3 linked regions of the Sus scrofa genome follow. The protein of the gene in region 3 binds, or shares a complex with, the protein of the main gene of each other region. Links are inferred from orthologs where the notes say so. Each region holds a gene or a part of one and is shown on either strand. Other genes may lie near its edges.

Region 1 (3,965 bases), on a different chromosome or scaffold from region 3:
AGCTGCTCACCTCCACCGGGATATTGAGACAGGATTTGTCTCAACCAGACAGTGCAACACGAGATGGGACCCTTGTCAATTAATTTATCACAATTAACTAATTTAGACACAATTAGGAAAATTTCAGGTGAAGTTGCCCAGAGGGCCACTATATCCTCATGAGGAATAAATCTTTTCTGAGTGTCTGCGTCCCAATCCTGGAAGACTCACCGTCACCCCGTATTTGAGTGCTAGTCCAGCCAGGGTGTCTCCGGGCGCCAACTGATGCTCCAGGCGTCTTTCCCTCACCGGGGAGCAGGCAGACTGCACAAGGCTTCCATAAGAACGAGCCCGGCTCCCTTGAAGCAGTCCTGACCCCCCGAGGGGGGCCTGTCTAGAGGGAGAGGCCATCTCCTCACCCTGCGGACAACTGGAGTTGCAACTGCGGGAGGCCCGGCCAAGTGACCGATAGTGACAGGCCCGGGGTCTGGGAATGAAAATCTGGAGGATTCCTTTCCCTTTCTGTGTTCTCTCCTAAGTCTCTCCGCCTTCCCCCCACTAGGCGACCTCTGACTCCTGGCTTCCCCGCCTTCCAAGGCCTTTTCCCACAAACCTGTAACCTGACTGTTCAGTCCCTACCTGAGTTTCTCCTTAGTACCCCTCCGACTTTCGATCCCCCACAACTCGCGACATTGACCTCTGACCTTTGACCACTAGACACCCTCCTCTACACTACAGAGTTTGCCCCCAGGTCGGTCCGCCAGACCTCCCAGCCCCCAACCCCGATTCCGCGCGTCCCGGGCTTGGTCGCTAGGGTCGGGAACTAATCAGGCCCACTCCAGGTGGGCTGTGGCCTCAGGCGAAGGGCGTGATGACCGCGAGAATCTGTAGCACACTTTCCCCTGAGAGATCCTCAAAGGTACGCTCCGCATCAAATCAGTCACACTCTCAAACTCGGGATCCACAGCTAGGTTCCTCTTTCTCCAAACGCCTCTAATCTGCCAAGATGCAAGGGCCTGAATCGGGCAGGGCGGCAAGCTCTTTGAAAAAAGACTTCATTTCCCAAAAGGCTCCGCGCCGGCGGGGTCGCAGAGCACCATAGGAAATGCAGTCCCCTCTATGGGCTAGAGGCGGGTTTTCGGGATCGCGCGGCGCATGCGTGGAAGCGCATCCCGGAAGTAAGGGGGCCAACCGGAAAGAGACAGGAAAGAAAGGAGACGTCCCACTCTTGCTACGGTGGCCTGAAAGGAGTGGCGAACGCGGCGCGATAAAACTTATATTTCTGGGGCTCTCACAGTCGTGATGTCTTTCAAGAGGGAAGGGGACGATTGGAGTCAACTCAATGTGCTCAAAGTAAGCGCGAGAGGAGAGCATCTGGAGCAGCTTCAGTTGCCGTCTGAAGGCTGTGAGGGAGCTGTTTTGTTGCTGTGGCAACAACTCGGGGGAGGGGGGCGGAGGAAGCCAGACGATTGGAACTGGGCCGACACCCCTTCTTCAGCCCAGATCTCTACCCTTCTTGTGGCCTTTATTCCCTTTGAGTCCTCGTCCTTGTCATTTCCTTTTTGTTCCTCCCTCATATCCAGCTGACCCCGTCCTCATTTCTTCCCTTGTTCCCTGCAGAAACGGAGAGTCGGGGACCTGCTGGCGAGTTACATCCCAGAGGATGAGGCGTTGATGCTACGGGATGGACGGTGAGGACTAGGAGTGGATCAAGCCTGGGGGTTCTGCGGTTAGAGGCTCAACAAACTTTTGTTATTAAGCAGATTGGAAAGAACAAGGAATCTTTGGCGGGGAGTGAGTAACAGGGATGTTGGTGGTGGAGACTGGGAGACTTGGGATTTGGGCTTTGGAAAGGAGTTCTAGGCTGTGGTGGAACCTATGGCAGAGACTCCACTCCCCAGGAACCAATTATCTTCTCTCCTCCTCTCTAGCTTTGCTTGTGCCATCTGTCCTCACCGACCGGTACTGGACACCCTGGCCATGTTGACTGCCCACCGTGCAGGCAAGAAACATCTGTCCAGTAAGTTTGTGGGAAGACAGAGCATAGAGAATAAACCCTTAAAGGGTTTATTCACTCTGGGTGCCCTCCTTTTAATTCTCTTTCCCTTTCTCCTGAGGCCTGCAGCTTTTCTATGGCAAGAAGCACCCAGGAAAGGGCCTGGAGCCAAATCCAAGACAACAGAATGAATTGAGGAGAGAAGAGACCAAAGCAGAGGTAATCAGAGAGGGGAGGGTGTGTTCCAGGCTGCACACCTTAGGCTTGAAGGCTCTGGATTCTTTCTAGCTCTGAAGGTTCTGACTTTGTCTCCCATCTCCATGCCAGGCTCCTCTGTTAACCCAGACTCGACTTATTACCCAGAGTGCTCTGCACAGAGCTCCTCACTATAACAGTTGCTGCCGCCGAAAGAACAGGTCTGTGGGGTGGGTAATCCAGAAGTAGGGAGGAACAGGAGATCGATCGCTCTAAAGTACTGTTTTCCAAATTGGATTCTGAGGAATACTAGTGTTCTGGAAATGCTAACTTGAATTTCAGGAAAAAAGAATTTTGTTTGGGAAATAGGATTTTGTAATCCTGTTTGACGCATAGTAATATTACGAGTTCCCATCATGGCTCAGCGGTGAACAAACCCGACCAGCATCCATGAAGATGAGGGTTTGATCCCTGGCCTTGCTTGGTGGGTTAAGGATCCAGTGTTGCTGTGAGCTGTGGTGTAGGTTGCAGACACAGCTCGGATCCCATGTTACTGTGGCTGTGGTAAGGGCTGGCAGCTGTAGCTTGCATTCACCCCTAGCCTGGGAGCCTCCATATGCCACAGTGCAGCGCTAAAAAGACCAAAAAAAAGAATAGTAACAGTATATTTTCAGGGTTCTACACAGTCTTAAAAAAAAAAAAGCTGAAAAAACTAACTTAGGCTTTCCTTAAGTTCATTTGATTCCAAAATCCTTTTTATGCAGAACACCTGTTAATATCTTGAGGAATACAGTTTAGGAAGCACTGCTTTAAGGGGTTGGGAGTTACAGGAGATTTGGTCCTTTCCTTTACTGCTTTTACAGACTTTGATTCTTCTCTACCCAGACCAGAAGCCCCTCGTCCCTCTGTCTCTCGTTCCGCTTTTTCACCCCCAGAGGTTGAATCCCAAAGTGAGAGGATCAGTAGGGAACTTGAGCCTGCGGCTGCATCACAAACCAAGGAATCAGCCACTGTCTCATCCCCTGCACCTATGAGCCCCACAAGAAGACGGGCTCTGGATCATTATCTCACCCTTCGAAGGTGAGTGTACGGAATCACTTTCCTCAGATTGTCCCTTTTCTCTCTGGCTCTCCTTTTTTCAAACCTCAAATATTACTTATCCCTACTAGCTTTTGGGGGGGGCGGGAGGCCATGCCCACAGCATGCAGAAGTGTGCCACAGCAGTGACAATGCAGATCTATAAACTACCGAGCTACCAGGGAACTCCGCTACTAAATTCTTAACACATTTCCTTTCCTGATCGATTCTGTTTGTTCTGATATTTCCAGTTCTGGATGGATCCCAGATGGACAAGGTCGATGGATAAAAGATGAGAATGTTGAGTTTGATTCTGATGAAGAGGAACCCCCTGATCTCCCCTTGGACTGACACTCTTTCCCCATTCAGTTCACAAATAAACTATAGTGGGCGCTGGGAGCCTGACTTTCCTTGAGTCTGGTTCCTTGTCTCATTTCAGGATTTCAGGTCTGTTCGTTCTCAGCCTGGCCAATATTTCCCTGCAATGTACACAGCTCCCCATACTTCTAGCCCCTCCCCCCACTTCTACCAAAGTCATGCCAAGCGTCAGCTGCATGCAGCCCGGTGCCCTAAAATAAGTCTGTCAGAAGGAGGTCTTTGCCCTTCATGTTGTCTGACTTCTTCCCCACCTCCACTCAGAGTCTTTTCCTCCTTCAAATGACATGAAGTTTTTGGGTAGGCACTGGGTGGGGTGGGGGTGGGAGCTGGACAGGTCTGG
Region 2 (4,231 bases), on a different chromosome or scaffold from region 3:
GCTGTGAGTTCAATCCCTGACCCAGGAACTTCTACATGCCTCGGGTACAACAACAACAACAAAAAACAAGTGAGATCACAGAAGTAATGGAGTGTAGGGCATTTTTCACTAAGTAATATGGAAAGCCATGGAGTTCCTGGGCCAACTGCAGCCTAACACCAGGTCCTTAACCCACTGTGCCAGGCCAGGGATCAAACTTGCATCCCAACACTGCAGAGATGCTGTGATCCTGTTGGGCCACAGTGGGAACTTCATGAGTTTAGCTTTATATAAGTTCTTTACTGAGGGAGACACAGGTTTAAGAAGCACTTGAATCGTGTTCTGCTGGACTACAAAATTGGGGAGGCTTACAAGCTTACAGGTAGTTAAATAAGTTGTTTATTAAAAATTATAATTGGAGGAATTATAATTGGGGTTAAGAACTAGTATCCACGAGGATGTGGGTTTGATCCCACATCAAACTGGCCTTGCTCAGTGGGTTAAGGATCCAGTGTTGCAGCAAGCTGCAGTGTAGAACACAGGTGCGGCTCAGATCCAGTGTGGCTGTGGCTGTGGCACAGACCAGCAGGTGCAGCTCCGATTCAACCTCTAGACCAGCAACTTCTGTATTCTGCAAGTTAGGCCGTAAAAAGGAAGAAAAAAAAAGAAAAGAATTATAATTGGAGCTGGCAAGAAGTAAAGGTGCTTGTTAGGTAAGGATTAGTTGAGGACCAAAATGGTTGATTAGGAATTCCTGTCCTGGCTCAGCGAGTAAAGAACCCCACTAGTATCCATGAGAACACAGGTTCCATCCCTGGCCTTGCCCAGTGGATTAAGGAGCCAGTGTTGCCCTGAGCTGTGGTGTAGGTCACAGTCCTAGCTCTGATTCTGCGTGGCTGTGGCATAGGCCAGAAGCTGCAGCTCTGATTCAACCCCTAACCCGAATTTATATATGCTGCAGGTGGGGCCTAAAAAGTACTAGACTGCCAGCAATTATTTGTTTTGCGAATGAATGGAAGAAAGAAACAAAGGTGTGTGAGAGGGTACTATCTTCAGACTCCTCCCACACTAGTCGGTTTTCTGGGTCTCTTGGCACCACTGTTAAGGACAAAGGCTAAGGAGAGAGTGGTTAATACTAACGATCACTACTCTGAAGTTTACTTCCTACCAGAAAGTCCAGGTTTAGCCCAAACGCAGAAGCTCTGCTTTTAGTTCTAGCCATAGCCTTAGCGCACTTATTCTCCACGGGAATACTACAAGCAGCTCAATTTATGCTTCAGGTAACATTAATTTTGCGCTAATGTAGTTAACAGGTTTAGCACGGGGAACCGAAGGAGCCAAGTAGCTTGCCGGGGGAAATCGTTACGGCTCCGCCACGCATGCGCTCCGCCGCGGAAAAGTAGCTACTACGGCTGCGCGAACCGGGGCCCCGCCCTCTTTCGTCACAAGTTGTGGGACCGTGGCGAGGCAGCAGCCGTGGCGGTAGCGACGGCAGGCCGTAGGGCGGTCGGAGGGTTTCCGGTTCCGGTGTAACGTTCGGGCTCCGTCTCAGGGGCTGAAGTTTGTGAGGTGAGTAGTGGCCCCGGGCCCAGAGAGGGTATGCTCGGGTCCTAGCGGCTGGGGCTAAGTTTCAGTCCAAAGGGAGGACCGAGGCGGGAGGTTCAACAGAAAGGAGGCTGAGGAAAGAACCAGGTTCTGTGCGAGAACGGGTTGGAATGAGATTGTTGAGAGGAAAAGGGCGGGGGCGGGAAAGGGACAGGGTGAGGAGACTACCTCTGAGATGAGTTTGGGTAGAACAAGGTGGGGAAAGGGTCCGGTCAGAGAGATGGAGAGAGCAAAAAGCAAAGGATAGGGTTTAAGGGAGGAAATTCGACTTGTAGCAAAGAAGAGCACGAAGTAAGGAATTCCTTCAGAAGATTAGATTCTGCTACCTGCTCATTGAGATCATTCTGCCTTCCTCTCTCTCCCTCCACACCGTAACCACCCCCACCCCGCCCCACGCAGTTATTGTTGAACGTCTGATTAATGACAAAGCTAGTTACTATTTGGAAGTTTGATTTTTGCCCACTGACTGTTTAGTCTGCACGTTATATTATGGAGGGAATGGGTTGAAATTGAGTACATAAGTATAGTGCTTGGGCATACGGTTCGTTTATAGAGTGGTACCCCGTTTATTGCTTTGGATTTTCAAACGGCTTAAACTTTCTAATCTATGATTCAGTTCTAGTGGAATATAAGCCCTCTAAGGTGAGGATTCTTGTCTCTTTTGTTCACTGTTGTATGTATCCTTGGCAGTATCCCACTACATTAACACTTAGTTGTTGTGCAGTAAATACTTACTGAATGAATTAAGTGCCAGATAGCTATGGCAGTTGTCCTCCTTTTGTAAGATGAATGAACTGAGGCTCAGAGGAATTGCTTGACAGAAGGTTAGTAAATGGAAGAGCTCTTTCTTCACTCCCTATGTTGTCTGAATACCCTTCTTTTGAGCATTGAACAGTTAGCATGTTGAAATTGATAAGCTATAGTGCTGTCTCATGATGGGTAAATAGAGCCATCATAGATTTATTATATAACATGTCAGTAAGACACAAAATCTTTTACTCCTAGTTTCATGACTTCACTAGCTTCATATGGTTATACCAAAATTAAATACACTGTTTAGCAACAGGTCTTATAGAGGATAAACCTACCAAGAATGCAGAAGTTAATTAGACTGTACCGGAGTTCTTGTCGTGGCTCAGTGGTTAACGAATCCGACTAGGAACCATGAGGTTGTGGGTTCGATCCCTGGCCTTGCTCAGTGGGTTGAGGATCCGGCGTTGCCGTGAGCTGTGGTGTAGGTCGCAGACTCGGCTCGGATCCCACGTTGCTGTGGCTCTAGCGTAGGCCGGCGGGTACAGCTCCGATTAGATCCCTAGCCTGGGAACCTCCATATGCCGTGGGAGCGGCCCAAGGGGGGCAAAAAAAGTTTTAAGATATCTTTTCTCCTAAAAGGTACAGTGTAATTTTTTTTTCTTCTTTCTGGATATCTTTTCTCCTAAAAGGTACAGTGTAATTTTTTTTTCTTCTTTCTGCCATTTCTTGGGCTGCATATGGAGGTTCCCAGGCTAGGGGTCTAATCGGAGCTGTACCCGCCGGCCTACGCCAGAGCCACAGCAACGTCGGATCCTCAACCCACTGAGCATGGCCAGGGATCGAACCCACAACCTCATGGTTCCTAGTCGGATTCGTTAACCACTATCCTATGACAGGAACTCCATCTTAAAACATCTTGAAGCGTTCTTTTGTAGCTCAGTGGGTTAAGAATCCAGTGTTGTCACTGCAGCAGCTTGAGATGCTTCTGTGTCGTCCACGTTCCATCCCTGGCCCCAGAACGTACAGTAGCAAAAAAAAAAAAAAAAAAGGAAGAAGAAGAATCGTATTAATTTGCATTTAAAGATTGTTCTAGAGAGTCTTTTATGATGGTGTTTTCTCTGTTAAGCTAAACAGGAGAAAAATAGAAGTGGAAAGAGAGTACATCCAAAATGAAAGTAATCTTTTCTGAACTGAGAGAATATTTATGACAGAGGCCCTGTAGAACATAAGAGAAAAATATCTGAGTACAGAATTCCCACTAGGATGAATGTGACTACAGAGAATTGTGAGAGCGAGTTCCTATTGTGGTTCAGTGGTAACAAACCTGACTAGTCACCATGAGGATTCGGGTTTGATCCTTGGTCCCCTCAGTGGGTTAAAGGATCCGGCTTTGCTGTGAGCTGTGATATAGCTCATGGACAAGGCTCAGATCCTCTGTGGCTGTGGCTGTGGCCAGCAGCCACAGCTCGTTTGGACCCCTAGCCTGAGAACTTCTGAAGATGTAGCCCTAAAAAGACAAAAAAAAAAAAAAAAAAAAAAAAATTGACAAAAACAGCCTTAAGGATTATGAGCTTTAGTATAGGATGACTGATGTGGATAAAGCCTCCCTTATTTGCATGCCTTAAAGAAGGCCTGGGTTGGAGTTCACAATGTGGTGCAATGGGTTAAGGATCTGGCCATGCCACAGCTTTGGCTCGGCTTCGTTCCCTGGCCCGGGAACTTCCATATGCCATGGGTGCTGCCAAAAAAAAAAAAAAAAAGAAGAACGGCTGGGTTGAGGAATACCTGCCTGGAAATAAGAATAGAAAAGCTGACCTCTAAGTGGACTTTATATAAATATTTGCAATCCTTGAATATGACAGAATCAAAAAAGAAGCTGGAACTCATTTCTTAG
Region 3 (3,957 bases):
TCTTTTTGCTATTTCTTTGGGCCGCTCCCGCGGCATATGGAGGTTCCCAGGCTAGGGGTCGAATCGGAGCTGTTGCCACCGGCCTACGCCAGAGCCACAGCAACGCGGGATCCGAGCCATGTCTGCAACCTACACCACAGCTCACGGCAACGCCGGATCGTTAACCCACTGAGCAGGGGCAGGGACCGAACCCGCAACCTCACGGTTCCTAGTCGGATTCGTTAACCACTGCGCCACGACGGGAACTCCTCTAGATTAAAATTTTTGGAAACTGAGGCCCCCTCACTCTATTCCTTTGGTGCAGAGGTCGTTAACTGAGCTGTTACTAGAACCTTAGTTGTAGCATGACATCCTGTGGGAATACTAAAATACCACAGGTTCAACAGTGAAGCAAATACCTCAAAGCAAGTCACAAGATTTTTTTTTTCTTAGTGTGATTACCTATCATAGATCACCATAACGAATACAGTAATGAAAAAATTTGAAATACTGTAAGAATTATCAAAATGACACAGACACAAAGTGAACAAATGCTCTTGGGAAAATGGCGCTGGGAGATTTGCTGGACTCTGGGCTGCCTCAAACCTTCAATTTGCTAAATTAAAAAAAAAAAAAAAACGAGTTCCCGATGTGGCTCAGGGAGTTAAGAACCGGACTAGTATCCATGAGGATACTAGTTTGATTCCTGGCCTCGCTCAGTAGGTTAAGAATCCAGCGTTGCTTTGTCTATGGCAAAAGCCAGCAGCTGCAGCGCAGATTTGACCCACAGCCTGGGAACTTCCATATGCGGAGGGTTCGGTCCTAAAAAGACCAAAAAAAAAAAAACCGCAGTGTTTGCAGAGGACAACAAAGGGAAGAACAACACATGGAAGTATGCACACACATGCCAAAGAAATTTTTAGGAGCCTACCCCTCCAGAGCTTATTTTCATCTGGTAGCGTCAAGACAACTTTGCAACCCACAAAGACAATGAGTTAACCAGCGTCCTTCAAATGCTAGAGGCAGGAACAGCAACCCAATTACAAAGAGGAATATAAAGACTGGAGGCCCCACCCCTCCGCTCTAGCCAATCCCTGGCGACACAACGGAAGCTTGGGACTGATCTGCGAGCTCAGGATTTTCCTAAGTATCGCGACGTGAAACGTGAAAGCGGCCAACAATCAATTGGCTAACGGGATCAGTGACGTCAGACGCAAAGCACCGGGCCTACCGCTGGAGCGTGAGGGAGAACACGAATTCCGTTTGGAGGTTTCTTTGAGTTCGCGGAGTAGGCATCATGAGCAAAGCTCACCCGCCGGAGTTGAAGAAGTAAGTATGCATGAGGGCCGCGCATAAATGGCGGCTTCTTTGTAGGCCTTGAGTTCCTTGGATCCCCAGCCATTTCCGGAGAGTGTGTCTGCCGTGCTTATTGCCACTGGCTGCCGCCGCGATCCGGGCCACCGTCCCACGTTTCCGGGCCTGCATCCCGCGCAAATGTTGTATTTCGGCCTGGTGGGCATGCTTTTCAAAGACGTAAAGGCCCCTCCGTCTGCAGGTTTGCCTCCCAGGCCGGAGTTCCTGGCCGGGTCTCTGGCACTCGATCCTTCGTTACTTAAAGATCTTGAATACCACAGTTAGCTGAACGCCTTGAGTAGCATCACGTTCGAGATAAGGTGGTTGGACAGTAATTCTGTAAGGAACTAAGGAGGTGGATGGAATGGAATTGTTTTGATGGTATATGAGAAATTCAAAAGCTGCCTTCATCTTAGTGTGTTGGTGGTTCCTTTGAGCTTTAACTTAGAAATCCCGTTCTTGGGAGTTCCCGTCGTGGCGCAGTGGTTAACGAATCCGATTAGAAACCATGAGGTGGCGGGTTCGGTCCCTGCCCTTGCTCAGTGGGTTAAGGATCCGGCGTTGCCGTGAGCTGTGGTGTAGGTTGCAGACTCGGCTCGGATCCCGCGTTTCTGTGGCTCTGGTGTAGGCCAGTGGCTACAGCTCCGATTCAGCCCCTAGCCTGGGAACCTCCATATGCCGCGGGAGCGGCCCAAAGAAATAGCAAAAAGACAAAAAAAAAAAAAGAAATCCCGTTCTTTTTTCTTAATTTCTTGCACTTAGGTTGAACTTGAATGTGTGATATTTTGCTCTGTTAACTGGAATGCGTGAGAACATTCATTTTTCTCTAATTAGAGAAGGCTCTTTTGTTGGGGGGGTGTTCTTGGTAAGATTTCCTTTTTGATTCTTAAGATATTAATGAGAGTTTTTAATTACCTTTCTTTTCTTATATGTAGATTTCAATAATTGTGAGATCCTGCCAGGTCTACCTCCAAAATGACTTTTAACTTTTTCTTCCTTACCATCTTTTTTTGGAGTTCCCTCGTGGCTCAGCCGGTTAAGGATCCAACATGGCACTGCTGTGGTTCAAGTTCAGTCCCTAGCCCAGGAACTTCCGCATGCCACCCACGAGGCCCGAAATCTTTTTTTTTTTTTGCATTTTTATATCTTCCGTCTGCTTTTAATATAATTCTGTGGTTCTTAACTGTGGTGTAGAGAGTCTGGTTCTACCAGCATTTAGTAGGTAGAGGCCAGGGTTCCTGCTAAATATTCTACAGTGCACTGGACATCACTCAACAACAGAATTATCTGGTCCCAGATGTCAGTATGCCAAGGTTGAGATACCCTGGCCCAATCATATTCTTCCTACCCCTCTTAAAAATCATTGCCAAAGTAGTCTTTTTTTTCCCCCAGTTTTTTTGAGATAAAATTGACCTACAGCACTACGTAAGTTCAAGATGTACAGCGTAATGGATTGATTTACACATGCTTCAGTAATCTTAGCCATGCCTGATACTGCTGCAGTAACTTATTGCCATCTGCATAATAAAGTCCAGACTTCTTGAACCAGCAGTAACGCTCCTCCATTTGAAATCCAAGCACCAAATATTACACACGCTAATATTTGAGTACCATGTTCTTGGGCCAAACTGAACCATTTGATTTTGCTCAAACTTTTTCACTGCTGAGTGACTTTGGAAATTTTACTTAACCTTTCTGGGCCTTGGTTCCCCATCTGTTAATTGGTGGTAATAACAATGCATAACTTAAAAAGCTTTCATAAGGATTAAATAAAATAAGTTCATATGTGTTATATTTGTGTTTTTTTATAACATCCTAGTAAAATTGATTGTTTTACATGTCATACTATATATTTTTATTTGTAAAAACCTGTCTTCTTACACCTTCTTCAGGCCTCATGTCTTATTTATCTTTGAATTCTCCATGATATACATTAAAATTGAATGAAGTTTCATATTTTCTAGCCTACAGCAAAGAGGTAAAAACTGGTTTGACTTGTTGGCTTCATATTCTTTTTGTCTTTAGGGCTGCACGCACGGCATATGGAGGTTCACAGGTGGGGGGTCGAATGGGAGCTGTAGCTGTAGCCCCTGGCCTAAACCACAGCCACACCAGATCGGAGCTGTGTCTGTGAGCTACACCACAACTCATGGCAATGCCAGATCCTTAACCACTGAGTGAGGTCAGGGTCCAACCTGCATCCTCATGGATACTCGTTAGATTCACTTCTGCTGAGCCATGACGGGAACGCCCTTGGCTTCATATTCTCATACTACCCTGCTGATATGGAATTTTGTTGCTTAATTCAAATTATTTAAAATTTCAATATGCATTTATTTTGCTAAAGTATACTTGGGTGTTGGAGAATATCCTGAACATTTAAGATTGTTGCTTAATATTAAATAAAACACTATGTATTGTCTCAAATATAAAATAAAATATCCATTGGATTGGATATGGTTTGATTACCTTCTGATTTCTTCACAACTTTGTTTGGTTTTTAAAATAACCAAAATATAACAAAATCTTTGTTTTTCTGTTTTGGTCGTAAGATTCTGTCATTGAATATTGGGTCGGGGAGTTCCTATAGTGGCTCAGTGGGTTTAGACCCTGACTAGCATCCAT

What was found. The genes of interacting proteins can lie anywhere in the genome.
Region 1: SNRPG (region 3) and SCNM1 share a complex: the UniProt entries of both Homo sapiens proteins name them as parts of the minor spliceosome. The link is inferred for Sus scrofa from reciprocal best matches to the Homo sapiens genes SNRPG and SCNM1.
Region 2: SNRPG (region 3) and PRPF3 share a complex: the UniProt entries of both Homo sapiens proteins name them as parts of the U4/U6-U5 tri-snRNP complex. The link is inferred for Sus scrofa from reciprocal best matches to the Homo sapiens genes SNRPG and PRPF3.

What each region holds. Positions count from the first base shown.
Region 1 is NC_010446.5:98,079,572-98,083,536, reverse strand, and holds SCNM1 (sodium channel modifier 1), read left to right. Parts: upstream 1-1,162; 5' UTR 1,163-1,281; coding exon 1,282-1,332; intron 1,333-1,599; coding exon 1,600-1,670; intron 1,671-1,910; coding exon 1,911-1,999; intron 2,000-2,096; coding exon 2,097-2,194; intron 2,195-2,302; coding exon 2,303-2,391; intron 2,392-3,055; coding exon 3,056-3,250; intron 3,251-3,498; coding exon 3,499-3,598; 3' UTR 3,599-3,693; downstream 3,694-3,965. Other genes in the region: LYSMD1 (lysM and putative peptidoglycan-binding domain-containing protein 1), read right to left, coding at 211-390. UniProt on the Homo sapiens protein: As a component of the minor spliceosome, involved in the splicing of U12-type introns in pre-mRNAs. Plays a role in the regulation of primary cilia length and Hedgehog signaling.
Region 2 is NC_010446.5:98,768,922-98,773,152, reverse strand, and holds the start of PRPF3 (U4/U6 small nuclear ribonucleoprotein Prp3), read left to right. Parts: upstream 1-1,428; 5' UTR 1,429-1,548; intron 1,549-4,231. UniProt on the Homo sapiens protein: Plays a role in pre-mRNA splicing as component of the U4/U6-U5 tri-snRNP complex that is involved in spliceosome assembly, and as component of the precatalytic spliceosome (spliceosome B complex).
Region 3 is NC_010445.4:72,197,568-72,201,524, forward strand, and holds the start of SNRPG (small nuclear ribonucleoprotein G), read left to right. Parts: upstream 1-1,154; 5' UTR 1,155-1,276; coding exon 1,277-1,308; intron 1,309-3,957. UniProt on the Homo sapiens protein: Plays a role in pre-mRNA splicing as a core component of the spliceosomal U1, U2, U4 and U5 small nuclear ribonucleoproteins (snRNPs), the building blocks of the spliceosome.